Macaca fascicularis: one gene and its partners. The protein of the gene in region 6 interacts with the protein of the main gene of each other region in a pairwise test. Links are inferred from orthologs where the notes say so. Each region holds a gene or a part of one and is shown on either strand. Other genes may lie near its edges. The genes, in order: RTP5, SPATC1L, FMNL2, GPANK1, LNX1, PNMA1 and HOXB9.

Region 1 (4,197 bases), on a different chromosome or scaffold from region 6:
CCGCAGGGACAAGGCCATTGTTGAGGGAGACGGGGCCCCAGCCCTGGGCCACGCCAACGGGGCTACAGAGGGAACCCCGGCCCTTGAAAAGGAAACCTTTGAGCTCGAAGGTCTGGATACTGCTGCCGAGGAGGCCGGGGCCATGGAAGAGGGGGTCTCCAATGGCCACTGGGAAGCCTTTGCCCCCAGGCATGGCCACAGAATCCCCAGACAGGTAGATGGAGCCCTGGCCAATGACCAGAGCCCCATGGCTGCCGGTCACAGGGAGAGAGGCCTCCTGTGAAAGAGAGGCAGGGATTGCAGGGCCCTCAGCGATGGGCACCTGGTCATTGCTGGCGCGCACAAGGGAGAAGGGGATGGCGATGACACCACCACCCTTGCCGAGGTCATCGCCGGAGGTGGGCAGCTGTTTGCCCCTGGAGACGGCGCCGGTGCCACCCCAGGCCATGGCAGGGAAGTTGCCTGTCGTGGTGTTGGTGCTCCAGGCAGGGTCTGGGGCCTTCTGAAGGAAACAGACCCCCAGCTCGCAGGCCTCACAGCAGCCCTCGTAGGCCTCCCTGGGGTGCCGGGTTGGGCCGAGGCCATCCCCGTAGCAGTCCTGCAGGATGTGCAAGACCAGCCTGCTGAGGAAGGGCCGCTCGCCTGGGGGCCTCACCTGGCAGTCCCCGGGCGCAGGGCACAGCTTGCACCGCTGGCCCCAGATGCGCATCTTCACCAGCCCCCGGCGGCCGGCCCTGTCCCACCACAGGTGGAAAAGGACATGCACGTGGGCCGAGTCCCAGGTCCCCGGACAGCGACTGCACTGGAGCCTGCGGGGGAAAGAGGTGCGTGTGAGTGCAGCAGTAAGAGACCCCAAGGCCGGGCCTCGCGCTCTGTTCTGTGGCCTCCTTGCCCATCCGACCCCAGCGCCTCGCTGCCCCCTGCCTCGCATCCCACACTCAAACCCCAAACCTCAAACCTCACCCGCCAGCCACCCAGGGCCACGGCCAAGGCGGCCCAGCACCTGCTCCTGCCTGTGCTGAGGCTCTGAAACCACCAGCCCCTTGGCCACACGGGCAAACGCAGGCCCATGCACGCTAGCTTGCAACCCCCTCATCTGGAGCGCTGTTCTCAGCAAAGCAAACCTCTCAGCAGTTTTGCAGCAAAACCCGCTCTGGCCTGGCCTCTGTGAGGTGTCGGCCACCTGCCGCCCGCGTGGCTCTGCTGGTGTTTTGTGAGTTGGGGTTAACACAGGAAGAGGCAGGCCAGCTGACACACTTAGAAGGGGAAAAGCATGCATCTGGGGGCTGTCCCTGGGGGCTCAGCAAGGGGGGTCCCTGTCCTGACTGAGAGGAGGTGATCCCCCCGTCACCTGCCAGCTGAGGGAAAGGGCGTCACTGAGGCCTGCGGTCATGGCCCAGGCAGCCCTGCTGGGCGTCGCCAGGCGAGGGGAGATTTGGGGAGAGCACTGGGAGAGATTGGCTTGTCCACAGCAGTCACCAGACCGGTGACCATTTGCTAACCACACAAGCAGCTGTGAGCTTCAGGGAACCCTGCATGAATGAGAGGCTCTGCTTCAGTTCCACGCAGTGGAACTTTCTGGATGACAGAATGTTCTATAGCCACACTGCCCCACCTGCAGCCGGCAGCCACACTGGCCACAGAGCCCGTGGACACGGTCGTGCTGGAGGAACTGAACTGCTGACTGTGTTTAAATGGGACTGAGGAGCCTGCCAAAGCCACAGGCGCTGGGGCTCATGTTGGGGCACCCGTCCTCAGTTCTCTTCCGCCAGCTGGGAGTCACTCAGAGCCATCTCCGCCTGGCTGTGGGAACGGTGATGTGCTTCCAAGCACTTCTCAGACCCCAACACGGGTTATTACTTTCCCAACTTCTGAAAAAGCTGGGATTCTACACACACCTGGCCCCAGGGGTCTCAGGCACTAAGGGGCTGTGTCCAAGGGCAGGATGACTCCCCCTTTGCCCAGGGCATCTCCACAGAGGGACTGACCAGCCGGCAGCCTGGGGGCCTGTCAGGCCGGGCGTCTGCGAGGCTGTGGAGCTGCCCTGCGCCCCTCCCGGCTGGCTCCTGGCAGAGCTGTGGATGCCTTGCCGGGTAGAGAAGCAGATGGGGCCCACCCTGTTGTGCTGACGGCACCACGACCATGACGATGGCCCGTGAGGCTCACATGTGACTCACAGCCACCCCGGGCCCCCGATCAGGGCCGAGCACCCCACCGTCTGCAGCGCAGGGCTGGATGGTGACCACAGGCACCGGCACGCCCCAGGGCCCACCTGTCAGCACAGACAGCTTCGAGGCCACGGCACTGCCATGGAAACAGGAGATAAGCCTGTGTCCACGGGCAGCGCTGGCCTGAGGAGCCGAGTGAGGGAAACCAAACCCTCCACGAGGCACCTGCCATGTCTTCCCCGGGACCCCTGCGTCAGCAGCCGTGTGCCCAGCATGGCGAGGCAGAGGCTCAGACGGGAGAAAGAAGGAGCACCCAGTCCCCCCTCCCGTCTCAGGGACAAGAAGAGGCCCGACAGCCCCACCCAGCCTCTGGGACCACCCAAAGTCCTGTGGAAAAGCACCTTCAGCCCCGTCCCTCTCCCAGGGTCCCCAGCCTCTGGCCGCACCTCGAGAGCCCCACCAGCAGGTACTGGACGCCACCGCCGTCCAGGCGTCCTGGGACCAGGCTGTGCTCAGGTAGCAGAACCCAGACGTCCTGGGGTTTCCTCTCGGCCATGGCCAGGGTGAAGGTGCTGGCCCACATGTCTGCCCCAGCCCCGTCCATGCTGCCGCCTGGCTCCGCAGTGCGGGCTGAGGGCTGCGCCCGCCGGGGGCCCAAGGAAGCATCCCTGCATCCGGCGCCGGCCAATCAGCCACCTTGACAACAGCACGGTCTCCATGGCAACCAGATTTGTCTCCAAGAAATGGGAAGCAGAAAGGAAAAATACAATACAATGCAATCTCCCATGACCCCGCCACCCAGAGAGCATCCCTGTGGCAGCAGCACCGTGGGGGCAGCAGCACCGTGGGGGCGGCAGCACCGTGGGGGGCCCGTGGACACGCAGGGGCCTCCCCAGACCTGTGCGTGTAGAGGCCCAGGTGTTTCCACACATCGCTCTAAGGAATCATCCCCAGCCCTCTCTTTCTACTGCGCACCAGGAACGGTGGCCCACACTCATCCCTTGCTGAACACTTCGTATTTTTCCAGCTTGTGGCTGTCATGTAACTTATTCACTCAGCTTCTCTCTGCAAACAGCACTAACGCTTTTCACACAAACAAAGCTGAGAAGAACTTTATAGAACGTGTATCACTGTAGATTGTCCCGTGGGTGTATTCTCTTAAACGTTTTACTAGTGAGAAATATAAAATATTTACATAAAATGCCTAAAACATAAATGCAGAGTTTCACAAATTATTCTAAAGTCTTAGTCACCACCTCCCAGAGGAAGAAAGAGAACCTCGCTCTGCCAGCCTCCAGAGCCGACTGCCTGTTCGCTCCCGATTTCAGCCCGCGGCCCCACCCCCACCCCCCACCCTCCTGGCAGAGGTGCCACCAGCCTGGCCGTGCCTGCACGGACCACGATGAGGCTTCAACACCTGTGATGCCTCCCTCACCGAGCCCTTTAGCTGTGCAGCTTCTGAGCTTCACGTAAACACCCCATGTGTGTGCCCAGCTTCTCACACCTTTTCAGGTTAGTTTGTGAGATTCAGTGGCATCGCTGTGCATGGCAGCCACCTGTCAGGGCACAACAAGAAAGGGCGAGCTGAGAAGGAGCTGGCACGTGCAGGGGCGGAGGCAGCCGGCGATCCCTACAAAAGCTCAGCACAGATCTGCCCCCGGGAGCCTCCAGGCCGCCCGGCTCTCCTCACAGCTCCCATCTCACCATCTCTCTGCTCTGCACACTGAACAATCTCTTCTCATTTTTCTACCACTTCACGCATTATCTCCTCGTCTCTGTCCACTCTGCAGCTCACGCTGGCAAGTGAGTGCATGTTGTCATAGTTTTCAAATCTGTGACATCTTCCTGCCTTGCAGGTAGGTGTGACTGCAAGATGGAAGAGGAAGCCATTAGGAAGCGCTCTGGGAAGGGGCCTCCATGCAGGGCCAGAGTGCCAGGGAAAGCCCCGTGTTCTCATTCCAGCTTCACTTTCTTCTGTCCATCAGTGCTGGGAGGATGGCCGCCCTCCAGCCAGTCTTAGGCCCGCCTG
Region 2 (4,100 bases), on a different chromosome or scaffold from region 6:
GGGTGGTGGCTGGCGTTTGGGAAGGACTCAGGGAGCGACCAGCCCAGCGCAGGTGCTGGAGTGCCCCCTGGTGAGTGGCAGAGCTGGCCTCCCGGGCATGGCTCGCGCTTGCAGACAGCAGCGTTCACAGGCACTGGCGAGGCTGCCTGCTCCATCGTCCAGGACCAGGCAGGCTGACCACGTCCCTTCCCGGCCCAGCCAGGTGGGAAGCTGAGGTTGGCCGTGGGAGTCCCAGGAAATGCTGTGTCCTCTGTCCTCTGCCCATCATCCCAATGAAGAGTCAAGGGCACAACTGTCAGCCACACCCCAAATCACACGCAGGAATGGGGAATGTTTTCCCAAAACTTTTAGAATAAAGCCTACTACTTTGCAGAAAGTGATCAAACCCTATATATATTTTTTTCAATAAAAAGCCACAGAAGGTTGGAGTCAATACTATGTGGTGAGTGGATCATGGCCCCACACTCCCACCCCCCAGGGACAGGTGCCCACTCGTCCCCACCCGCTCCCCTGGCCCGCTCTGGGACCTCCCTGGGGTGGGACCTTCCTACCACGGGGCTGGCCTAGCTAGCTCTGGCCGGGGATGTGAGTGGATGGGACACAGCACCCATGGGACTCGTGTGGCTGGTCTGACACCCCCCTCGCCCCTGACCCAGGAGGAGAAGAGACGCACGCAGCAGAGCAAACTGCCAGCCAGGCCCAGCCTGGAAGAGCTGCCTGGGGCCCTGGAGGCCCACAAGCCTGCACGCCACCTGCTCTACCCCTACGGCGGCACCTCCATGACTGCAGCTGACCACACCCACTTCACCGGAGTGGGCCTGGAGGGGAAGGGCCTCACCTGAGGGCAACAGCAGAACCCACCACCTGGGCTTGCTTTACTCAGACCTGAGAGTGTGAAAGGTGCCCGTGACCTCCCGCATCAGGGAGCTGCCCGCCCCCCTCAACGCCCGGGGAGCAGATACCCGACGACCCCCCATCCACCAGGCTGGACCCTTGGGCCATGTGAGCCAGGTGGTGCCTCACCTCCACTCCCAGGGGAGCCGGCCTCGGGGTAGGCGGGGGCCCTGGGTGGGAGCAGGTCGTGGCCACTGCCCTCCTGGCAGCTCTGGCTGAGCAGCCGCCGCAGCATCTGATTCTCCTTCAGGAGGCGCACCTGCTTCTTCAGGTCTGCGTTCTCGCTCAGAAGCCGGCTCATCAGCTCGCCGCCCTCAGCCATGGCGGGTGCGTCCCTTCTCGTCCCTCACGGCTCCTGCAGCCCCATGGAGGTGGGAGCCCAGAGCCCACAGGCACCACAGAAACAGCCCGGGCATGGAGTTCCGTAGCCACCGCCGCCTTCTGCGCCTTGTGATGTCACTGCCCTAGTGATGAGGTGCCCGGCACCCCCGCCTGACCCGTCGATGGCTCGTGGCCCCGTTGAGGCCGTGAAGCTGGAGGCCCGTGGTGTGCACAGGCAGCCACTCCCACACCACGACCGGGGCCCGAGAATGCCAAGGACATGAGGCAGGTACGGGATGTCGGGACTGCACTCCAAGGGGGCGTCCAAGCCTCTCCCCAGTGAGCGGCCCAGTGAGGGTTGGGCGTCCACCCTGTGTGGAGTCCTCAGGCTGGGTGGGGACGCTGCCTTCACCTGAGTAACACATGGGCTGCACTTCCCACAGGACCTGCCCAGGACACAGGGATCCCAGTGCAGTTTCCTGTGGGCCCCGGCACCCAGGGCGGCATCTGGTGTGCATCAGGGCCCATCCTTGGCACCCACATTTGAGAAAGGAGGGGCTGGTGAGGGCAGCTGGAGGAGACCAGTCTGGGGAGGAGACCAGCCTGGCAGGGGAGACCAGCCTGTGGTGGGGACCAGCCTGGTGGAGGGGACCAGCCTGGGGGGGAGACCAGCCTGTGGAGGAGACCAGCCTGGCAGGGGAGACCAGTCTTGGAGGGAGACCAGCCTTGAGGGGAGACCAGCCTGTGGTGGGGACCAGCCTGGTGGAGGAGACCAGCCTGCGGGGAGACCAGCCTTGGGGTGAGACCAGCCTCGGGGGGGAGACCAGCCTGGAGGGGAGACCAGCCTTGTGGGGAGACCAGCCTGGGGAGGAGACCAGCCTGTGGGGCAGACCAGCCTGGGGAGGAGACCAGCCTGGGGAGGAGACCAGCCTGGGGAGGAGACCAGTCTTGGGGGGAGACCAGCCTGGGGGGAGACCAGCCTGGGGGGAGACCAGCCTGGGGGGAGACCAGCCTGGGGGGAGACCAGTCTTGTGGGGAGGAGACCGGCCTGGAGGGGGAGACTGGCCTGGGGAGGAGACCGGCCTGGCAGGGAGACCACCCTGGGGAGGAGACCAGCCTGGGGCAGCCCCACCATGGGCCCCACGATTGGCCCCACATGCTGAGGGGCGCTGGGTGGCCCTGAGGGCTGGGCTGGAGACCACCTGCTGACCTCACTCCCCAATGAGAAGGGTCCAGCAGTGCCTGTCCACCCCTCGGACCGCGAGCGCCCATGTCTAAGACACCAATTGTTCCTGACTGCACTGCTCCTGCCTGCACCTAACTGAGGACGGCCCCAACCCATGGCCACGGCCCCTCGGGCCGTCACGCAGGGCTGTGGCTCACAGGGTCCTGCTAGAGTAGGCGCTGTCCTCGGTCAGTGTGACCAGCTTGAAACCCACCCTGACTCCCCGCTTCTCCAATTACTTGGGGAAGTAAATCACCTCAGTGTTGTTTCTTGGCTCCGAGAGTCTTGTTTTATCAGCAGCCGGGATGTAACAGAAGGGTCATCTCATCCTCGTGGGAAGGGACGTAATCCAGAAAACACAACCCACTGGGCCGGCCACACCTCCAGCCCTGTGACGGGCACCCACCACCACCAACCCAGTGGGCCGGCCACACCTCCAGCCCTGTGACGGGCACCCACCACCACCAACCCAGTGGGCCGGCCACACCTCCAGCCCTGTGACGGGCACCCACCACCACCAACCCAGTGGGCCGGCCACACCTCCAGCCCTGTGACGGGCACCCACCACCACCAACCCAGTGGGCTGGCCACACCTCCAGCCCTGTGACGGGCACCCACCACCACCAACCCAGTGGGCCGGCCACACCTCCAGCCCTGTGACGGGCACCCACCACCAACCCAGTGGGCTGGCCACACCTCCAGCCCTGTGATGGGCACCCACCACCACCAACCCAGTGGGCCGGCCACACCTCCAGCCCTGTGACGGGCACCCACCACCAACCCAGTGGGCTGGCCACACCTCCAGCCCTGTGATGGGCACTCAGGACCACCAACAACCCAGTGGGCCAGCCACACCTCCAGCCCTGTGACGGGCACTCAGGACCACCAAGGGCACTCACGTGCAGACGTCCCCAAGGAGAACACCACCTTCATTCAGCCCGGGCGGCCACATTAGGGCAACGTTGCTTCCAGGAGAGAGTCTCGAGTCAGGCTTTGTGGAGAATGGAGGTTGCCATACCCCAAGCGTTCCTGACACAACCCAACCCGTCTGGCTGCACCACAGGGCTCACACCTCAGATCAAGACAACGGGGGCCCAGACACAGCCCACTGACGAGGGCATGCCCCTGCATGTCCAGGATGCAGGGCAGAGAGAGAAGTCAGGGGTGAGTCACAGATGCGCCCCCCACTCTGAGCCCGATGGGGCCCTGAATGGCTTTTCCTGCCCTGGCTCCTCCCATCATATTTTAAATGCCATCTTCTTCCCGCTCCAAGGAAGCCTTCTCCTGACATCACGTACTCTCCAGCCACGGACCTATCAACACTCTGACAGTTTTCTGATCTTGACACATTATCCTTTTAATATAGCACTGGATTCAATTTATTAATATCTTAAGTATTTTTATGCTCACAGGGGAAATCAATCTGAATCTCCTTTTCTTGTGATGTCTTGGTCTGGCTTTGGAACACTGGCCTTTTAAAATCAGCCGCAGGGGTTCCATGCCATTTTCTGGGTGTTCTTCCTTTTTTTTTTTTTTTTGAGACAGAGTCTCGCTCTGTCGCCCAGGCTGGAGTGCAGTGGCCGGATCTCGGATCTCAGCTCACTGCAAGCTCCGCCTCCCAGGTTTACGCCATTCTCCTGCCTCAGCCTCCCGAGTAGCT
Region 3 (3,500 bases), on a different chromosome or scaffold from region 6:
GAAAAAATTTAAGAAAATATAGAAAAGTACTTACAAAAACAGTTTGAAAAAATTCCCTGATTCCATCCAACCTCTGCTAATATTTTAACCTACTTCCATTGTCTTTCTCCCCACATAGTTTACTTAGCTGAAATTCAACTGTACATGCAAAGCATACCCTGCTTTCTTTTCTAAACACAAACCTTTCTTGGAACACTCTTTATCAGTATGTTAATGGTGGAAGAATAATAGTTCACTATATTAACTAGCGTTACAGCACATTTAATCATTCCCATAGACCTTTAGATTGTTAATTTGCAATTATAAATAAAATACAGCATTCAAAATTCAGACACTTGAGAAAAGATTCCTAGAAATGGAAATACTGAGTCAAAGGGTATAAGTAATTACAGGTTCTATGTGCTCTCTGTCAAATGGTGTTCCAGAAAATTAGTACCAATTGAAAATATTCATCAAAACATCCCCCACCACCCTAACTTCATCTCTGCCAGCCATCTGTCCTTCAGACAGCTCTCAGATTTCTTTTAGTCCACTCACCAGATCTAAACTCTGAAGTTTAAATCCATAAACTGCTCCTCTTTTACTGCTATTCATGTAGTTTCCAAGGGCTAAGATGATCTGCAAAAGAGAAGGTGAAAACAGAAGCCCATCAGTTCAGCACATCAGGCACTGAACACAGCTGAAGTAGCCCTTCATACCTACAAGAAAAACTGCACTTGCCTCCAGAATTTTCTTGAGTTTCTGGGACGACTTTATAGAGACAGATGCTGCTATAATCGCATGTAGTTGCTAGATTCCAATCAAAGAAAGAAAAAGGGGGGGAAAAAGACATGTTAAAAATGGGAAACTAATTGGCAATTAAATATTAACACAGAAGAAAACAGGCCTGCATTTAGAGCATACAATCTTCATGATGAGAGTCTACTTTTCCAAAGTATAACAAATTTAATTGTCTTGCTAGGTTTCAGGTAATATTGTTACATGCAAGGTCTTTACTGAAACTGTTCACAATAGCAACGTAGGAACTTGCTTGTCACAAAATCTGTAACCAATCTATAACCATTAAGACTCAGAGTTAAGAGTCCATAGCTTCTTCTGGTAGAACTTAATTTCCTGCCCACCACCTCTAATCATGTCATACAATTAATATTTTTAAATCAATGGAGGAGGCATCAAAAATGAGAAAAAAAAAAAAAAAAAAAAAAGGCAGGGGGGAATATAATACCCTCCAGAAGTTCACAGAACATGTTTTCAACAGACATACTACTATAAGCAGAAACCAACAAATTTATGTTGAAACAGAATTGGGAAAGAACTGACTACTATAATCAGTAACAGTTTATTTAGAAACAGAATTGGGAGAGAACTGAAGTTTATGATATTCATAAATCTCCACAAGATTAACACAAGGGAATGAGAGATGGTTGGCTATTATGTCTATATCACCACAGTTTACTGTAACACACTTACAAGAAAGAAAACTCTTATGGTAAATTTAAAGCTTTCAGCAAAAGCTTGTAAGTCTGCTCACTAAGGAGAGGGCATCATTTTTAGAAATGAAAGTCACATTTTCACTCTTGCCAACCCCGTCAGAGCACTATTATCTTCAGGGGGGAACCAAGTTTGAGAAAAGAACCAAGTTTCTTTGTCCTCTGCCTTTTGAAATTTAGAGAACATCTGTAGACACAAAAAAATGGCATTCTTTCGGAAGAACAGCAATATGGAATATGAACATTCCCCATTTTTTCAAATTTACTTTTCATACATAATGTGGAAAAGATGGACAATTTAGAAAGTTCTGGGACGGAGTCTTTAGAACCCAACACACTGAGTGCACCTCTGGGAGAGACTTTAAAAAATTATGATTCCACATTTCTTTGGACCCCCTCCCCTGCCAGAGTTGGTCCACTCACAGGAGTCAGCATCTGAATGCTTTCAGCAAAGTTCCCAATGAAAGCCATGATGGTCATCTTCTGCATGAGCCTCTCGATTTTACTAAACTGCATCATGAACCTGTCTTCATCTGACAAGTTTTCCAGAGGCTTCCTTTCCCGCTCGTAGAGCCGAAGCACTTTCACTTCATTCTCAGTTGGCAGGAACCGCATTAAGCATTCCACAAAGTCTACAGGCAGTGTCTTCAAGTCAAATCTAAAGACAGATGTGGAGAGATTAGCCTTAGAGAGAAAAAACCTCCTACCCCTTTTTCAAGTTCATCCTTTTCAGGTCCGTCCATCCATCCATCCATCCATCCATCCTTTTCAGGTTCATCCATCCATCATCCATCTGGTACAGCTCAGCAAATACCAAATCAATGAGTCTAAGATTTCTCCACTTGTCCTGTGAAGTCCCACCCTGGTCCTGGTGCTGAGGCTTAACTATGCCTCAGGTAACTTAATTGGTTCTTCCTGAAAACCTGGACCTTGTCACAACTGCCATCCTCAGTTTTTAGGGGACTGGCATAGCTCTAAGCCTCTGGAATCAGGAGTAAATGAAAATAGGAAGAGGTAGAACCAAGGCCAAAGCATCTGATGGTTTAATGGTTCAAGGACATAGCTGACAGGCATTGTGAAGTACTACTGCTAATTCAGGAGATTAACACTGTACACATTATCACAGAATATCTGCTGAATTATGTAAAATATTTCAATTCAACCAATAGTCTGGTAGCAGTTTTTCTTCTTTGGGAAAAAAATGCATCCAAATGCCTGTATTATCTGAATGTTTTAGGTTAAGTGTGTACATTCCTTGAAGTTCTTTTTGGATATATGCTTAATTTGAACAAATTAAGTATTTGTTACAATCTCTATTCTCTATTATTCTCTGGACAATCTTTGTTCAGCTAAATAATAGAATTACATTTAATCATCATGACAAACAAGATATATAAAGATTCAAAGCCAGGCTGCACTTCAGCATTCAATGTCAGAAATGAGAACAGACTGTAGGAGGCACTGGACTACGAGATTATCACCCTGGCTGAGGACACAAAATTGGAACAAAGGATTTCTCAGGGTCATTTACACCTCTAAGTCACTAACCAAAATTTACAAGATAATCCATTTATAAATAATTAGTTCCTAAAACATTTAATAATGTCTTCGTCACATTTGAAAGTCACCATGGCCACAAGAATAGAAGGATTCTTCTAATAGAGAAGTAAAACCAATGCCTTCTATGCAGTTCAAGAGTAAAAAATGAACTTTGTTTAAAATGTCCTGAAAGTACTAAAAGCAAAACAATTCATTCCTGTTGTTATGAATTAAAATATGCATCTGTATCATATTTGCGTCTGGCATTGAACTGTATCATTCCACAAATGCCATCAAATTTGTATTCAACAAATCTGGATAAAATTCAGATACTCCAGAGAAAACTGACATCTTCTACCTTTTCTTAACATCTGCCACACTCAGCTCAACTTTCCTTTTATGTAAGCATTGCTGGAGGCCCGCATAAGAGATAATAAATGATGTCACAATCCAGATGTTATTCTTCTAAAA
Region 4 (4,058 bases), on a different chromosome or scaffold from region 6:
AGCAAAACCTGCTTTCTACAAAAAATATGCTTGAGCCCGGGAAGTGGAAGTTGCGGTGAGCTGAAATCACGCCACTGCGCACCAGCCTGGTGACAGAGTAAAACCTTGTCTGGGGAAAAAAAAAAAGGACAAATTGACTTCCTTCCTACTTAATAATGAGGGAATCCAGGCTGGTCCAAAGGTGGTGGTGTTATCTGAAATGACTGTTCACTCAGTTACAGATCAAACTCCTTACTCTACTTTTCCCCTCCTTCTCACTACTGGTCTTAAAAACAAATTTATTTAAACCATTGTGGGACCCAGAGCAGAAGAGTTGAAAAGAAAAAATTGTAACCAGGCCTAGCAAACTCTTGGGCAAGGGGAGGGATACTAGTGATAATGACTACAGCTAACATTCATATATTGCATACTATGCAGCATGCACTATTCTAGCATTTTACATATATTAACCCATTGAATCCTAACAACAATCCTTACTACCCCATTTCTAAGATGAGAAAACTGGAACATGTAGACATTAGGTTGTTTGCCCAAGTAAGTGAAATCAGGCTTTAAATCCAGGTAGCTCATATTCATAACCACTTGACTATACTACCTTGTCAACCTACACATGAGGATAAGGAAAGAACTCAGCACTGTGCTGGGGCCTCTGGTGTGGAGTGGCTGGGAGAGGCAGAACACAATGAGACAGGGGTCTGAGCTAAAGTTTCCCCTCACCGGTTCTCTGGGCTCCTTGTCTCTCCATGGCTTTCCCTGACCATGCGGGCCACCTCAGGAAAGCCAGCTTCTTCAGCGAGCTGAGCCGCATCCCTGCCACCCAGCTCACAGACCCCCACCCAGGCAGCCCCACGGCCCAGGAGATAGCTCACAGCTGCCCCCTGGCCCGCTCGAGCAGCGCACATCAGTGGGGTCCACCAGAAGGCATCCCGAGCATTGATATTCCCCCCAGCTCCTCCTGCCTCATGGGGCTCCAGCAGTCTCCTAAGTTCTGCCAGGTCCCCCTCCTGGGCTGCCCTCAGTATCCGGTGAGTCATCTTATCCTCAGCCTCAAGGGATCTCCCTTGTCCATATCTTCCTGATACTCCTTCTGCCACTGCTTCTGCTGCAGCTGCCCCCATGATTCTTCTTTTCTTTCTCTTTCTTTCTCTGGCAGGTTCAGTCTGAGATCTTTGGGAGTCAGGAACGCAGCTCTCATCCCCAATAAGGGCCTCATAGAAAGCTCGGGCTGCAGCTCCATCCAGGGTGGACTCTGGCTCCTCGGGCTGTGGCTGCTGCTGCCCATCCTTCCAGAGGTCGCTGGGGTCAGTGGCTGGGGTGAAGGTGATGAGGAAGGGCTGGGACATGGCTTTTGGGAGAACTGAGAAAATGATACCAGGCAAGGGAAGGATGCGACAAGCAAGCCAAGCTCCTGGTGACTCTGTAGCAACCAGAGCCTCAGGGACCTGCTGGGATGAGAAAAAGTAGTCAAAAACACTTTCCTGCCGCTAAAGTGACCCCACAACTTAAGACTCTGCAGGGTCTAAGGGAGAGAGTATATGCGTAAAAACACGAAACCCTACAATACCGACTTTGCTCCTTAGTAAAGATTAATCAAACTCCATGAGACAGTCGTCCAGAGGTCCTGCGTCCGGCCCCCACCCCCATCCTTACCAACAATAAATACCAGCCTCTTTCTGAAATCACTTTCTCACCCCGTAAAACAGACATACCAGTAGGAAAAAAAAAAATCAAACCTGGCCCTTTAAGTCTTCCGTGATCCCATTTCGGAGTTTCCTCTTCCCAAACAAAAATAGACGGGTCACTCCCTAGAAGATCTCGGGGAGAGGCTCCTATACGTGTTGCCGTGTAGCTTCCGTAACGCAAAATGGCGCTATTCTGATCAGCAGAGTTGACACAATCAAATAGCCACACGGCACGGAGACGCATGCGTGGCGACAACAACAACAAAAACCACCACCCACATTACTTGATGGCTCAGGCGTGCGCAAAGCTCCCGGTTCAGTTTCCCGCGCTGGAACTTTTCCAATAGTAAACGAGCAAAGCTCCGCGCGCCCAGGTGGCGCGAGCGCTAGGATCTGTCGGTTGGGGTCCTACTTTTACATAACGCCCCCACAATGCCCTTCGCCTTCCTCTACGTGGCCCCCGCTCCAAGCCCATTTTCTGGAGCTAGGAATCCACTCTCTGGGTTAGGAAAGGCCCTCAGGAGGCGGAGGGAAACCTGTGGAATGCCGAGAAGCCGTGTAATGAAATAACGTCACGCCTGCCCCTCACCATTACTCTGACCAGGGTTCGAAGGTCACACTTAGAGACTAAGGGGAAATGGAGAAGTGCAAGGGGACGAGCAGAATGGCTGGCACCACCTCAGGTTAGCGCACTGGGCCGTTCTGGTTCTCACCCAGCCCAGCCCAGCCCAGCCCAGCCCAGCCCAGCCCAGCCCAGCCCAGCCCTCCCAACCCAAGTCCCTACGCACGGAGCCAAGCCGCACCTCTCGCCTCATGAGGCCGGAGCCCGGAGTAAAACAGAAGGCCCGTCAAGGGTCTCTGGCGGGACTGACTCGCACTAGGGGCCCAACAGGCAATAAGGACCCAGCGCATTGGCCAAGGATAGGCCAGTCCCCAGGGAAGCAGCACCGCGTCGGGACTAGAGGGCAACTGTGAGGAGAGCTGCGAGGAGGGGTCCAGCCTGGCTCCCTCCTTTCCCCGCCCTAAGTCAGCTTCTTCGCCCAGTGAGCACACAACTGTATTGCCCAGGCTCCCAGGCCCCGAACGCCATACCTGGTTTCCGCTTCCGGTGGCTTCTCGTTGCGCCCCGCCCGCAAGCGTCCTCCTCCGGGGCTTCGTGACAGCCAGGTCGTGCGCGGGTCATCCTGGGATTGGTAGTTCGCTTTCCCTCACTTAGCCGGTTTCTCTCTCTACCGGGGACTCCGCGTCCCGGCATCCACCGCGGCACCTGACCCTTGGCGCTTGCGTGTTGCCCTCTTCCCCACCCTCCCCAATTTCCACTCCCCCCACCCCACTTCGCCTGCCGCGGTCGGGTCCGCGGCCTGCGCTGTAGCGGTCGCCGCCGTTCCTTCGAAGTAGCAACTTCCCTACCCCACCCCAGTCCTGGTCCCCGTCCAGCTGGTGAGTCTGAGGTCTTCGCTGCTCCTAGTCGCTTGTCGCTGGGAGCCGCACATGGGTCTCCGCACTTTGATATGGGGGCGGGGGGAGGAAGCAACCAGGTCCGGCAAGGAGGGAGAGGTGGCTTGAGGAGCGGAGGGGGGATGTGTGGAATCCGGTGAAAGGGACCTGACAGTCGCCCCCAACCCTTGAGAAAAGGAGGCGCCCGATTCTTGCTTGAGAGTGATAAACTTGGAAATCCTTGGGAAAGGCGCCGGGGTCGTGCAGAGACTTGCATTGGTACGGAGCCTGAGTCGAGGTCCCTGCCGGAGTTGACACAGAGAAGAGAGGGCCCTGGCTTTCGGGAGCTCCAGGGACGTGGGTCGGGCTGGTGGGTCAAAGTATCTGTTGGCTTCTTTCAAGTGGTGGGACCCCAAAGAATGTTTAACGTCAAAGAAAAGGGAACTGAGATGTAAATTGGAGGAGTTGGAGAGGAGTGCTTCAGAGTTTGGGATCCTTTAAGAAAGGGTGGTTCTAATGTGGGAGGAGGGAGGATACCCGAGGCAGGGAAGGAGAACTTGAGCTTTACTGACACTCTTTTTTTCAGCTGACGTGAAGATGAGCAGCTCAGAGGAGGTGTCCTGGATTTCCTGGTTCTGTGGGCTCCGTGGCAATGAATTCTTCTGTGAAGTGAGTTCTCTTCGACCTCCCTACTTGCTGGCTTCACATATCTTCCCACCAGATGTTCCTTCACGTATTCCACTTCTACACTGTTCTCTTACATACTACTTGAAAACTTCCCATCAACGAAGAGTCCCCTCAATAACCCCCGACGAACCTGTGCTAAAGTGGCAAAACTGGGGCCCAAGTTTCGACTCTGCCACCCTCCAGCAGGCAATTTGTGTCTTTTTCTTTATCTTTTTTTTGAGACTGGGTCTCACTGTGTCGCCCAGGCTGGAG
Region 5 (4,136 bases), on a different chromosome or scaffold from region 6:
CTGCCCATTTAGGATTCCCCTTGGGTATCTCCTCTGTGCCCACCCAGTCTGAGCTAGGTGCCCTCTGATGGCAGGCTGTGTAGGCTCTCATTGCACTTGGCCACATGGAATGGAAATTTATGGCTTGTCTGCTTCCCACAGTGGACTGGGAGTTCCTTGAGGGTGGTGACTAAGGTTTTAAATCTCTATGTCCCACCCTAACCAAGCACCAGTTACCTTGTAAGTGCTTCATATCTGTTGTTAAGTAAATGAATAATGGAGAACCTAGACAAGGACTTGACAGAGAAGCAAAAGGAACAGTGACTGCCCAAATAGTACTTTTCACCCCTGGAAATGTTGTTACTACCCCGAGCATACAGTGAGCAGTCCACATCCATATAGATCAGCAGACCAAGTGGAATAGAATGAATGGAATGAGCCTGGCTTCTTCAGGCCTGATGCTGAGGACATGTGCCCTACCTGTATGGAGGAGATAGCTCTATCCCCCTCCAAAGACAGTGACAACACAGGTACATACACAAATGTATAGCATGTGTCACAGTCCTTAAAGACATTACATAGGGCTGAGCAAAGTAGGCACCTGTGCGCGTGTGGAGGACATATGGTAGCTCCAGAATTCCAGGAGCCAGCTCAGGGCGGCCCAGAACAAAGCGTCAGGGTGCGGAGGGCGTCTGCATGGGGCAGGGGACAGTGTCATGATGGCAGTTGATGACATTTGGGGGATTGAGTGAATAAGCATATAATATATTAAGGATAATGGGAGCCAGCTTCTGATGAATGTTAGAGAAGGGAGTTACAAATGTAGAAAGGGAGTGTTGGATTGGAATTGGAAGTATGAATTGGAAGTATGAATTGGCAGTATGAATTTATGGCTTTCAATACATATAGATTAATATAGAAATAAATAGATACGTAAATAGAGGAGGAAACTGGGATTCAAAATTAGATCTGTCTAGCTCTTTTCACTGATCTATACTACCGCCCTACACATAGGGCCTCTGCTGTGAAACCTCTGCCCCCTTCCCTGTCCCCCCAGAACCCCAACCCTAACTCACACAGACTTAAAAGATTCCACCCTCGTGGTTCCAGAGCATGCATCACATCTCATGTCATTAGCTGCACACAACTAACTCATGACGTTTTGATTACACTGAGGGTAGGCCTCCTCTTATCTGTATTCCCTGCATCTCCCTTGGAGCCAGGCACATGGTCATCACACTAGTTAGTATTAATATTTATTGTGCAGTTGTTATGCATCAGGAAAGACTTCCCATACATAATCATTCACAGCTGAAGACAACCTTATGAGGGATGTATTACCATCATTCTCATTTTACATATTGGCAAGGTGAGGTTAGCGGTGTTAACTGAGGTACTCCAAGATGCAGAGCTAGTGGGAAGTAGAACCAAGAGTCAAGGCCAGACAGTCTAATTCCTCAGGCTGTGCTCCTTGCCCCTCAGCTCTGCCACCATGGACTTGGTGTAAGTAAATGTTCACTCAACAAATTCCTCCCGGGGGATTTGTGTATCTGAATGCTCTCCCTCAATCCAAGTCCACTCTTTATGCTGAGCTTACTTGAAGCTCACCTCTTTAGGGAAGCCCCCCACCCCGCCATCCTACTCTGCACTGCCTCAGCATTCCTTGGGCACAGGACTTGCACCACGCCCTGACATATGAGCCAGTCAGTGTTGGAGCAGGGAACATAGTTTATCGACATTTGTTGAACTGAATTCAATGCCCAGGAATGGAAGTAAACAGGAATACATGACAAGGTGGTGTATTGTACAGGATACTGTGGCTATCTATTTCTGGATTTTCCTGAGAGTTCCAATTTCTAAAATTCCATCCTCTCATCAGACCATTTGTCAGAATACATGGCCAAGAATGTAGTCTGGAATTTTCTGTAAAGAGTAGGGTCACCATTCTACTGAAAAGAGATAGGAATGAAGACAGGATGTGCTGCTGGTCACCCACAACTCTACACATCCATGAGCAGGTCACAGCTTCTCTCAACCTCTTTATCCATGGGTAAAACTACAATGCAACACCTACTCCTACTGTGGAATGAAACAAAGTCTGTGTGTGAATGTGTTTTAAATACCGATAAAGAATATTGTCGCATAAACCCAGTTACTGTTAGTGGGATTACTTATATTTTTACTGATCTGTCTGGCAAGTCGTTTTCATTTGTCAAAGTAAATAAGCTTTGAATGAAGGCCACTGCAGAAAAAAATAGGGTATAAAGAGAGGAAATGCCAAGGCGTTTCTAGTGTTTTCAAAAAGACACACCTAGATATTTCCATCTTTTAGACTCTCCTCAGTTTGGGGGGTGTGTGTGTCTGTGTGTGTGTGTGTGTGTGAGAGAGAGAGAGAGAGAGAGAGAGAGAGAGAGAGAGAGAGAGGTGAGAACTGGGGGCTGAGTGGGCAGAGGTGACATTTTTAAAAAATGGTATGAGATTCTACCTTGTAGAGGAACTAGGCCATCTTACCTTTGCTGTATTGCGGATCAGTTCCCAGCTGTGTGAAGTCTCAGGTGATAGTCCGTTTGAGAGATGAGTTTTGCTGGCTTAGCAGTAGCTCAGGAAATTTTTCTTTCTCTTTCCAGTATTCTGTGTCCCAGCTATGCATCAAAACTGCTCCACCATTGTACATGCAGGGGTTAACCAGGGCATCCCCTGTCCCTTCTGCAAGGCTTTGGGTAGAGCAGATTCATAAAACTGAGAGCAGCTATGGAGAGCTTAGCGGGAGAGTGGTCCCCTGCAGAGCAGCATGCATTAGCATCAGTGACAAATCTATTCTGGTTTGGATGGGGCTGAGACGCCCCTGAACTTCCTTCTGCTTTTGCCAAAAGCCAAGATCCTTTTGTTCACCTTTAGGGTTGCCAAGTCAGGCCTACCTCGCCCCTAGATGTTGTTTCCTGTGGGCAATGGGAAAATGATCTTGGAGCCAGAGAAGGGAAATCAACAAGGAAATAAACACAGGGTCACCACACCTTCAGGCCATCATTAGGTCTGGAACATTATCATGCTAATAGGCAGGGGCTGCTGACTGGACAGGCCCTAGAATCCTGGGCATCTTTTATTTTTGAATATGAAAAGGGACATGCACCAAAATCTATATCAGGCAAATAAGTAGTTCTGACTTGTTCCAATACCTTGCCAAAACTTTCAAAGATTTTCTCTCGGCAGTATTGCTCATAACTGAACACTGGCTAATGTTTGTGGACAAAGAAAAAGACTGAGCAAGTTTGTGGCTGATACTACTTAAGACTCTTAACTCTAAAGATACAGAATGATTGTTTAAATAAGGATTTCTTCTGCTCATTCTTCAGCATTACCATCGCCATCATTGTCAGCCGCTGCAACATCTTTGCTAACATTTATTAAGTGCTTACTGCCTACCAGGTTCTGTAGTAATTACCTGACCTGCATTATTTAATTTAATTCTCAACAGAATCTATAATTATCACTCCCATTATATAGATAAAGAAACTGAGGATTAGAGACATTAAGTCGTTCCTGCAAAGTGACCCAGCTAGTTAAAAATGTAAACGTTGCGCTTCTGGAAGTGTGCTTTTCTGAGTTTTGCTTTTCCCACTGGTTTGCTTAAGCACTTCTGTGGGATGACAGCTCCAGTGATGGCCAAAGATTTTGCTTAAATAAGCGATAAGCTCTGGGAATTCGATTCTAAGTAGAAATGTGAATAATTAGTGAATTAAGTAGTCTCTTTCCAGAGATGTGAATCGGGAGCTCGGTGTTATCTTATGTATGTGCAACATGCAAGAAAGACACATGGAGTGCAGGTACTTGTGGCTCCCTAATTACAGGTGGTGCCGCTGGCTGCGGTGCCTTCAGCTCTCCACTGTGACTCTGATTTACAAACAAGGAAGTACACTGCAAATTCCTTGGCCTCTGTGTGCATTTTGGTCATGGCCTGATTGCCACTTTGTCCCTTTGACTTTCGGAGCCAGCTGCTACAAGTTTCTTTTAATCAATAATCCACGGAGTGAATGAGGCAAAATTGCCAACCTGGAAAATTCTGCCTGGTGAGATGAAGTCAGCACATGTATTTTCAGTCCTAAGGTCACACTTCTGACTCTTTTTGGTTCTACCCCTAATCTTTATTTTCAATTGCT
Region 6 (4,232 bases):
AGATGACAGCAAGAGGGGAAGGAAAAAAAAGGACTTGCCATTTAAATTCACATAGTATCATACAAAGCTTAAGAGTAAAATAAATGGTTTAATGACAAAGTCTTCATAAGAAAAAAGGACAGAGTTTACTTAGGCTAAAAATGTTTATACATGCCAGAAAAATGAGAAGACAACAGAATTTTTAAAATATTTTAATTTGTATATATAACTTCAAATTTAGAACACTCAGTATGAACAAGAACTATTCTCTGACAAAGATCTGAAATGGGGAAGTGAATTACTGTACAGGTGCATATCAACCTCTCCATGCAATTTACATCTGTATCTTATGCAATGAGAAACTGGTTTACACAGCTCCGTAATTGCAGTATTTTTTTAACACCCCATTTTGCAGTCTCAGAATACTTTTCAATTAAACTGATCGACATGTTTAAAGATGAGAAATATGATGTTTGCATTGTAAAGTTGAGTAATAGCTAATAAATGCACATTTCCTTCCATCAATATAAATCTGGAACTATTTATGGTAAAGAAAAATCTATCTGCGCTATCAGTAATCTAATAGTTCATACTTTTACTGAACACTTCCTGTGAGCCAGGCCCCGTAGTAAACATCTGCACATGCAATTTCACATTCAGTGTGGAATAGGAAGTGTCAGAGGTTCGTGTGTTTTTCACAACTGATTATGATGTCCATGATGACAGCGTGCACTAAGCGCTGTGTCCAACCAACCCTTTACCTGGCACTTTAGCCAGCAAGACCCACTTGCATTGTAGCAGCTCACGGTGCTCGCTTGCACAATTTTAGAATGTTACATGAATACTCAGGCCTGACTAACCTTCCCCTCCAAAAAAACAACAAAACGGAACAGGGCTAAGCCTTTACTACTCAGAGACACATCTGTAAGACCCCCACAGGGACAAGAAAACTAGCTGTGATCTAGGTCTGCACTAAAGCTGTCTTTTCTGGCACTCAGAAGTGCCCTTCCAGGCCTAACTGCAGAAGGGTGGCCTCAGCCTCCTCCTCCTCCTCCTTGGCTTCCTCCTCACGGATCTGCACCAGCAACTGAAAGAGGTTTGGGGCCGGCCCTTCCCCAGCCCCGGTAAGCCACAGCTGCCTTCGGATGGCCCCGCTGTGGTTGGCCCCAGCAATGACCTGCTCTAGGCGGGCCTGGTTCACGTTATCTTTATCAATGGCCCCCTTCTCTACCACCTTCTGTAGCAGAGGCTCCAGACGAATGACATAAGCAGACAATTTTTCTCCCGGGTTCTGATAAGTGTTCAGAAATTTGATCTGGGCATCCCTAGAGCTCTCAACGCTCCCAAACACCTGCTCAAGCGCCTTCAGGCATTCGGCAGTGGTTATCGCGGGGTTGTTGGACTTGAGGATGCGAATGACATCAGCGGCAGGGCCTCTAAGGCTCTCCATCAACCGCCGCCTCTTTTCTACATCGGACACCTGCCACTCCTCTAGGACCTCATTAGTGTGCTCCAGCCAGGGATCAAAGGTTTCCTCTCCAGGCCCTGGGATGTCCCTCCCCGAGAAAAGTGTCAGCCTCTTGTACCATATGGACTCAACAAGAGGCTGAATAACATTATCCAAAATATAGTTTAGCATCTCTGCTGGCATCTCTGGGCCCGGGGTCGGAGTAGGGTTCTGAAACCCAAGGACACGCGCAACATCTTGCACGGTCCACCCCTCTCTAGCTAGGAAGAGGTGCAATCTTTCTAAAAATTCAGCATCAGAAGTTGGGGGCTTAAACAACACTTTCCAGACCCCTCCTTTGCCCGGCATCTCCCTGGGGATCGCGGCGTAATCGACAGCGCCAGTGAGCTCTAATAAGGCTGCTTTCGCATTTTCTTCCCTCCAGAACATTCTCCCAAGCATTCGGTAGGGGACCTGGGGCATCGCTGCCTGGAGGGTCTCTTCGATTTCAGCCTCATCACAGTTCACTGGGATGCCCCAGACCAACAGAGCTCTCTGGGAGTTCACATCCATCCCCCGGCACCAGTCTTCCAACAGTGTCATCGCCATTTTCTCAACTATCAAGACGCCAATTCTACCAACAGACTGTGGCTCACCGTACTCCTGGCCTTAGAACAATACCAGACACTCCCACCAAATAGGCCCAAGGGAGGTAGGCTTCATGCATTCACGACTAACAAAGACACAGAGTCCTGATCTCGCCCTTCTCTGCCCCCCCAGTCAGTCCGTAGGTACACTTGGAGCTGAGCTCGGGGACGCTGAGGAAGTCACGCGGCCGTCGCCATCTTGCGTCTGGGTCCGGGTCCGGTCGGGTCTGCCGCTTGCAGCCGGGCTGTCGCGTCGTCGTGCAGCGGGCAAGGAGCGAGGGCGGGCGGCGAAGGCAGGCGCGCTGGGTCGAAAGCAGCCGGGGTGTGGTCGCGGGGCGTGCCCGCCGGGCGCTCGCTGCGGCTCCTGGAGAGGATCGGGCGTTCGCGGTCGCAGCCCGGTCTTCCCGCGGGCGAGGAGCGGCCGTTTGGGAGACTAGCCAGAGGGAGAGACTGTGCCGAAGTCGCGGCGGCTGCGGGCCAGCGGAGAGCGGCTTCTTGGAGGGCGTGGGGACTCCTCTTGGCGGGCGCGGGGACTCCTCTGGGCGGGCGGCGAGGACGGCCGAGGACCAGAAACGAAGGCAGCAGAGGAGCAGGAAAGCCGGAGAAGCGAGGCTGGAAACAGCACAGGCAAGGGTGGGCAGCGGCGGCCGCGGCGGCCTGCAGCGGCTCAGGCGCTGCGCGGCTGCCCCAGCGTCGAGTCCTACCCGCAACCCGCTGCGACGTTACTGCTGCAGTGGAGGATGGGGCCAGCCCGCGAGCGGCGTCAGCCCCGCCCCGTCCCGCCCCCGCGGCGGAGCCGCTCGGGCGTCGCCATGGCAACGGCGCCCCAGCTGGCGCGAATCACGCCTGCTCCGGCGGCCCGCGGGGGTCGAGCGGTTGCCATGGTGCCAGCGAGGGGCTTGGGCATTTGTTTCTCTGATGGCGCATTTCCTTTTTCATAATTTTCCATTTTAACAGCAAACAAATACTGCTAAGCACCGTGTTTTAAAAATAATAACCCAATCCTGGAGTGCATTTAAGATGATACTATTGGAAGTCATGGCATCCCTCATGGTGGACTTGTCTACTCGGGTTGCCCAGCCAGTCCACCCTGCACGTGAAAATACTCTCCTCAGAACCCTGGCTTCCCGTTACCCCTGACCACACTGTGCACCCTGCATATTTTATCCCAATGAAGCCGGAGTGCGCCATTTTTTGTGTGAGATACTGAGTTTAGACTTTTTCTTGTCTAAACTTTTGTAAACATCTGTTTGTCTGTGTCTACTGAGTCATCTTTTAGCCAGGCAAACATTAGTGTTATTTTCCTTTTCCTGGCTGGCATCGACAATAGGCTGCTAAAAGAGAATCCTTATGGCTCAAAAATGTCGAGTAATCTCCCTGCAAGCAAGACAAGGCCCACTTACATCAACCCCAGATGGTGAAAATCCCGAGAGAACATAGCATTCAACTCTGAATTTTTAAAACCTTATTTAATAAAAGGTTTAAAGATACAGAAGAACATTCAAAAGTAAATAAGTTACATAGGTACATTACAATCACATCAGCAAGATTCTTTAGTGTATTAATTTTTTCTTATAAAAAGCACACAAAAAATAAAATCTTCAGTCTCTATCACAACTGTACAGCAAAAGAGGTAATATTTATATGTATGTACACTATTTTAATATGTAACAGTCTTTTTCAAAAAGGGTGCCACAGGCAGCAAACACACAAAAGGCAGTGTCTGATCATTTTTGTTTCAAAATAAAAGGAATATACTTATTTATATGCTATTAAAATATTTGTACAATAATTACAGACTGTCAAGGCTGTTCCTGTGCTCTGTCCCCTCCAACAAGGCCTTCAACTTAGAGACAAATGAGGAAAAAGTGAAACAGCTGCAAATTGTTAGAGGCAAATATTAACATAGCAAAATGTGGGGAGGACACAATTGTTTTATAAAAATATCCCTACTTCCTGTAAACCTATGGAGTTAGGCTTGCCAGTCTGATAATAAATACCGTCCCAGAAAAGCGAGCCCCAGTGAAAACAACTAAACAGCTGAGGCTTGAGCATGTGTTGTATTCCTCCTTCATCTTAACATCTGGCACATGAGAAGAAAGAGGTTAGGTCACTGAGGCAGTTAAATATAGGCGATCCCTTTAGACATAAGCAGCAAA
Region 7 (4,058 bases), on a different chromosome or scaffold from region 6:
GAGGTGAGAGGAGGATTTGGGTGGGGAAGTGAGATGTCTGTTCAGTTACCACATTTGGGGTGTCACTTCACCCCAAGAGACCTTTCAGCCCTTCAGTCTAGTCCCAGTACACCCTGCCTTGATCACAAACTTGTGTCTCTAGACCACATGGCAGCAGGCATGTGTGTCTGTGTAGAAATCTCCCCCTCTGTTACCACCACACACCACAAATATGGGTCTGCACTTAGAGCCACAAACAGGCAGCACACTCCAATTCACACGCAACGCAATTGCAACCATTTATCAACTCCAGCCTATGGACAGGGGAGCGCCAGGGGCTCACAGATAACTTATGGTTGCAATAGTCTCTCTCCTTTTCAGCTCCTGCTCAGCTCACAGTTTGGCTAACACAAGTTCAGGGAAATTGGGGAGTAAAATTGCTCCAGTCCCAAGGTGGGGAGCCAGGGGTGATGTGGAGGTAAAAGGAAGCCCTTCACAGCACACCTAGCCTTAACTGGTCCTATGTGGGGGCTGGAGGGGAGAAGAGGGTAACTGAGTGGAAGAGAGGAAACAAAAATATATACAGGCTTCTCTTCTTCTTACCCTCTCTCCCCCTGCTCTGGAACTCAAAAAAGTTGCCAAATAAAGCTAAGCCAATTAAAAATAATAGCCACCAGCTACTAGCTTCCTTCTCCCCAAGTGAAAAACACTGGATTTTTTTTATATATAAAAAATTTGGTTCATCCTACACTAAGTACCCTGTCTTACCAATTTGCAGTGCTATTTCCTTAATGTGATTGCCTGGGATGGGACCCGCAGCTGCATTAAATATGAAAGAGGGAAAAAACTGTTAATAATTGATTCTAGCCAAATGGCTGCCTTGCAATAATGGGCTTTTCAGGGAGAGTTTGGGGTTTTAGGGTGGTGGGTCGGTTTGGGAGTGTGCGGGGAGAGTTGGGGAAGAATGTCTTCCCCAAATGCCAGCTCTTAGGATTCCACCTGGCGGGTTGGAGGTGACAGGACCCTGCAGGGAATGGAGCAGCTCTTTACTCTCCAGCAGGCAAGGATGCACTAAAGAGCCCTGGGGCCACTCCGTCAATGGGAAACCTAGCAGGGCAAGGAGAGACGAAAAAATCCCTACTTCCCAAAAAGAGTAAGAAACGAGGACTTGATTCACCAGCCTGCGAGTCATTGTTTGGGGCTGAGTTCCCTCGCCGAAGGGCCCTTAAAAATAAGTAATAGGAGAACCCTCTCTTCTCACCTAGTAGCACCTCCTGGAAATCAGCCAGACTTGGCGTTCTGACTGGGGTGCTTTTGAGGAGTGGGAGGTGATGGGAAACTACCCATAAACGGTAAAGTTCTCCGCCTCTCTGCAACCCTCTCTTCCCCCACCCCTCCTCTCCCCGGGATGTCCCGATATTCGGAAGCGATTCCCCGACTCCCCAAGAGGCGGACAGCCCGGGCTGGGGCTAGGGAGCCCCGCAGAGAGCAGCGGGGTGGGGGAAGGACCGCAGAAAAGGAAGCGGCAGCCCCGGCGAAGATGCCGAGGAGGAGAGGGGCCACCAGAGGGAAGGCTCCCGGGGAGGGGCCGGCGCATCCGGGGAGGGGGCTCAGTCACCGCGTCCTGGGCTTCCCCCGCCCCTCCCGGCGCCGGTTGCGGACTCTGAGCGGCTACAGCACGAGATCTGCTAGGAACAATTCTCCGCCAAGCTGTTGCATCGCAAATAAAATCCTAATGAGCCCCCTCCCCCTTCCCCTTGGCCGGCTTTTACGGTCTGCGCGTGGAGCGGGGAGCTCTGCCAGCCGCACGGTCCCGGGCAGCCCAGTGCGCTCCGGCCCTTGCCCTCGCCGGCTCTCCGCCTCGCTGGCCGCTGGCCCCCGGCCCCACCAGCTCCTCTCCCGGCCGTCGCCGGTCTCTGGCCGGGCTTTCAGCTGGGGCCTCCGGGAGACAGGGGAAAGAGGGCCGAGAGAGCTGCAAGTCGATCCCAGAGCCCCTGTTCCCCGCACGACTTGAAGAAGTGGGGGCAGCGCTCCTCTGGCGGCCTCAGTCTCACCTTCCAGAGCACGCAGCTTTCCCCCTTCCCTCCGACTTTCCTTCCTCTCCCCTCCTCCCGGCCCGCTCTCCGGCCACCGCCGCAGTTTCCCTTCACATGGTCGGCAGTTTATTGCCTTTCCCCTCCCCGCCCCCTCCTGGCCTTCGGCCTGGGTATTTCCTCACTTTTTATAACTTACTTTGATCCGGCCTCTCTTTGTCCTCGCTTCCTTCGCAAATTTTATTGTCCCCGTAGCCGGGTCTTTGATTAGACAGCACGGCCTCCCTGCCCGCCGAAGTTTCCAAACTGTACTCGGGCGTGCCCTGTTTAAGCAGCTCCCCAGGCGCGCCCAGCAGCGGCTCCGCCTTCACCGCCGCCTGGCCCTGCCCCGGGGCCGCTTCGCCGCGCGGCGCCGGCTCCAGCCAGGTGCGGAGGTACCTGCTCTCGGCCGGCGGGACGCCCTGGGGCTGGATGTAAGGGTGGTAGACCGACGGCAGGCTCCCGGACGCGTGCGGGCTCAGCGGCGCCCAGGAGGCGCCGAACACCGGCGCTTTGGGCTGGAAGCTGCACGAGGGGAACTCCAGGTGCTCCGCGTGGCCCGGCTGCCGCGGGCTCGCGTACTGGCCAGAAGGAAACTTGGCTGGAGGCGCGTCCTCACTCTCGTGACTTATGATCGAGTCGACATAATAGCTGCTAAGCGTCCCAGAAATGGACATTCTCAGACATTATCCGGGCGCTCGCAGGGGGAAGGGAAGCGCTCGCGCGGCGGCGCCCAAGCAGGGAGAGGTGGCACCCGGACCGGTGTGAGGGCTTTCGGACGCGACCCCCCCAGCCCCCCACCCTCCCACCCCCACCCCCTGCTCAACTTCTCAGCCAACAAAGTACAGTGGAGCAGCCAGGCTCAGCGCTCCTTGCAAAATGATTGGTCAAAGTTTTTCCGACTGCCTGATAAAGCGTCAGCTCCGACATAAATCAATCGGGCGAGGGGGCTGCGCTCTCGCTGTCATCCGTCCGCACCGCATTCCATATCGAGGATGGATTGTTTTATGCTGATGCAATGTGCTATCACGTCAGGGCTCCGGCGGCCACGTAACCTCAGCCTGAGCTGCCGGCTGCCCGGTCCCCCCTCCCGCTGCAGGAAGGGGGGCAGTTCTCGACATGGGGCGGCGGGGGCGGAGGAGAGGCGGAGGGAAGCGGCGGGCTGCCTCGGGAGGGACGCAGGCTGTGGAGCCCTCTCCCCAGGCGGGTCGGGGAGGGAGGGAGAGCAAGGGCGGAGGGAGGGAGAGAGCCCCAGCCCGGGGAGCAGCCACAGAGGCCCGAGAGGATACTGGAAGAGGAGGTGGTCCTGTCCCCCCCAACACACACCTCCACCTCCACCCCACAGGCCCTCATTTCCTCTTCTCTGTCCCCTTGACAGAAGATGTTTATTAAACAACAGCAGCAGCAGCAATCCACAGGAGATGAAGTAAAAGGATGAGGGGAAAAGTTGGGGATTTTAGGACGTTGTCCGCTTTGGAGGGGGCTCTCTGTGCACTATTTGTAGAGATTTACATGACTGGGAGCTTCCCTGGACCCCTCAGTAGCTGAGGGAAGAGGAGAGAGGTGAATAAAACGGCTGAGTGTCCAAGAATCCACTATTTGTCCTGAAATTAGAAACTGCTTGAGGTTAAAGGGATCCATCAGGCCCCGGAAACGTGAGCCTAGGAAAGAGTTTAATACAAGGAACCAGAGCGCCTTTACATTTATTGGGCCTTTCTGACTCTGGCCAGAAGGATGGATTTAAGATGGTGGTGGTGAGGTGGGGGCGGCGGGGGGGGGGGGGAATTGCCATTTCTCCTTTTCTCCACTGAATAACTGAATAACCACCCAGGCCCCTAAAATTGCCCTGATGAAGGAGCTGAATAGCAGAAAGGGTTAAGGACACTTCCCTGAGGTGTCACCAGAGTAGAGGCCTGGGAAAGGATCCCCAGTCAGCAAGGGAAGGGGTCCCAAGTTATCTCCCCTTCCATCCAAAGAGGAAGGAGCCTGGGCTGAGTTTTCAGCCCT

What was found.
Region 1: the proteins of PNMA1 (region 6) and RTP5 interact in binary tests that used the Homo sapiens proteins (3 or more experiments, as listed by UniProt). The two-hybrid records come from large-scale screens. The link is inferred for Macaca fascicularis from reciprocal best matches to the Homo sapiens genes PNMA1 and RTP5.
Region 2: the proteins of PNMA1 (region 6) and SPATC1L interact in binary tests that used the Homo sapiens proteins (3 or more experiments, as listed by UniProt). The two-hybrid records come from large-scale screens. The link is inferred for Macaca fascicularis from reciprocal best matches to the Homo sapiens genes PNMA1 and SPATC1L.
Region 3: the proteins of PNMA1 (region 6) and FMNL2 interact in a two-hybrid assay, tested with the Homo sapiens proteins (2 studies listed by BioGRID). The two-hybrid records come from large-scale screens. The link is inferred for Macaca fascicularis from reciprocal best matches to the Homo sapiens genes PNMA1 and FMNL2.
Region 4: the proteins of PNMA1 (region 6) and GPANK1 interact in binary tests that used the Homo sapiens proteins (3 or more experiments, as listed by UniProt). The two-hybrid records come from large-scale screens. The link is inferred for Macaca fascicularis from reciprocal best matches to the Homo sapiens genes PNMA1 and GPANK1.
Region 5: the proteins of PNMA1 (region 6) and LNX1 interact in binary tests that used the Homo sapiens proteins (3 or more experiments, as listed by UniProt). The two-hybrid records come from large-scale screens. The link is inferred for Macaca fascicularis from reciprocal best matches to the Homo sapiens genes PNMA1 and LNX1.
Region 7: the proteins of PNMA1 (region 6) and HOXB9 interact in binary tests that used the Homo sapiens proteins (3 or more experiments, as listed by UniProt). The two-hybrid records come from large-scale screens. The link is inferred for Macaca fascicularis from reciprocal best matches to the Homo sapiens genes PNMA1 and HOXB9.

Annotation. Positions count from the first base shown.
Region 1 is NC_088386.1:137,802,054-137,806,250, reverse strand, and holds the start of RTP5 (receptor-transporting protein 5), read right to left. Parts: upstream 2,801-4,197; 5' UTR 2,773-2,800; coding exon 2,615-2,772; intron 810-2,614; coding exon 1-809.
Region 2 is NC_088377.1:933,370-937,469, reverse strand, and holds the start of SPATC1L (speriolin-like protein), read right to left. Parts: upstream 2,801-4,100; 5' UTR 2,680-2,800; intron 1,662-2,679; 5' UTR 1,217-1,661; coding exon 1,024-1,216; intron 1-1,023.
Region 3 is NC_088386.1:48,134,197-48,137,696, reverse strand, and holds part of FMNL2 (formin-like protein 2), read right to left. Parts: intron 2,149-3,500; coding exon 1,914-2,148; intron 790-1,913; coding exon 721-789; intron 619-720; coding exon 538-618; intron 1-537. UniProt on the Homo sapiens protein: Plays a role in the regulation of cell morphology and cytoskeletal organization. Required in the cortical actin filament dynamics.
Region 4 is NC_088378.1:140,055,882-140,059,939, reverse strand, and holds the start of GPANK1 (G patch domain and ankyrin repeat-containing protein 1), read right to left. Parts: upstream 2,801-4,058; 5' UTR 2,471-2,800; intron 1,876-2,470; 5' UTR 1,734-1,875; intron 1,446-1,733; 5' UTR 1,344-1,445; coding exon 718-1,343; intron 1-717. Other genes in the region: CSNK2B (casein kinase II subunit beta), read left to right, coding at 3,717-3,788.
Region 5 is NC_088379.1:80,251,581-80,255,716, reverse strand, and holds the start of LNX1 (E3 ubiquitin-protein ligase LNX), read right to left. Parts: upstream 2,801-4,136; 5' UTR 2,491-2,800; intron 1-2,490.
Region 6 is NC_088381.1:141,640,181-141,644,412, forward strand, and holds PNMA1 (paraneoplastic antigen Ma1), read right to left. Parts: upstream 2,801-4,232; 5' UTR 2,036-2,800; coding exon 974-2,035; 3' UTR 176-973; downstream 1-175.
Region 7 is NC_088390.1:58,092,993-58,097,050, reverse strand, and holds the start of HOXB9 (homeobox protein Hox-B9), read right to left. Parts: upstream 2,801-4,058; 5' UTR 2,729-2,800; coding exon 2,212-2,728; intron 1-2,211. UniProt on the Homo sapiens protein: Sequence-specific transcription factor which is part of a developmental regulatory system that provides cells with specific positional identities on the anterior-posterior axis.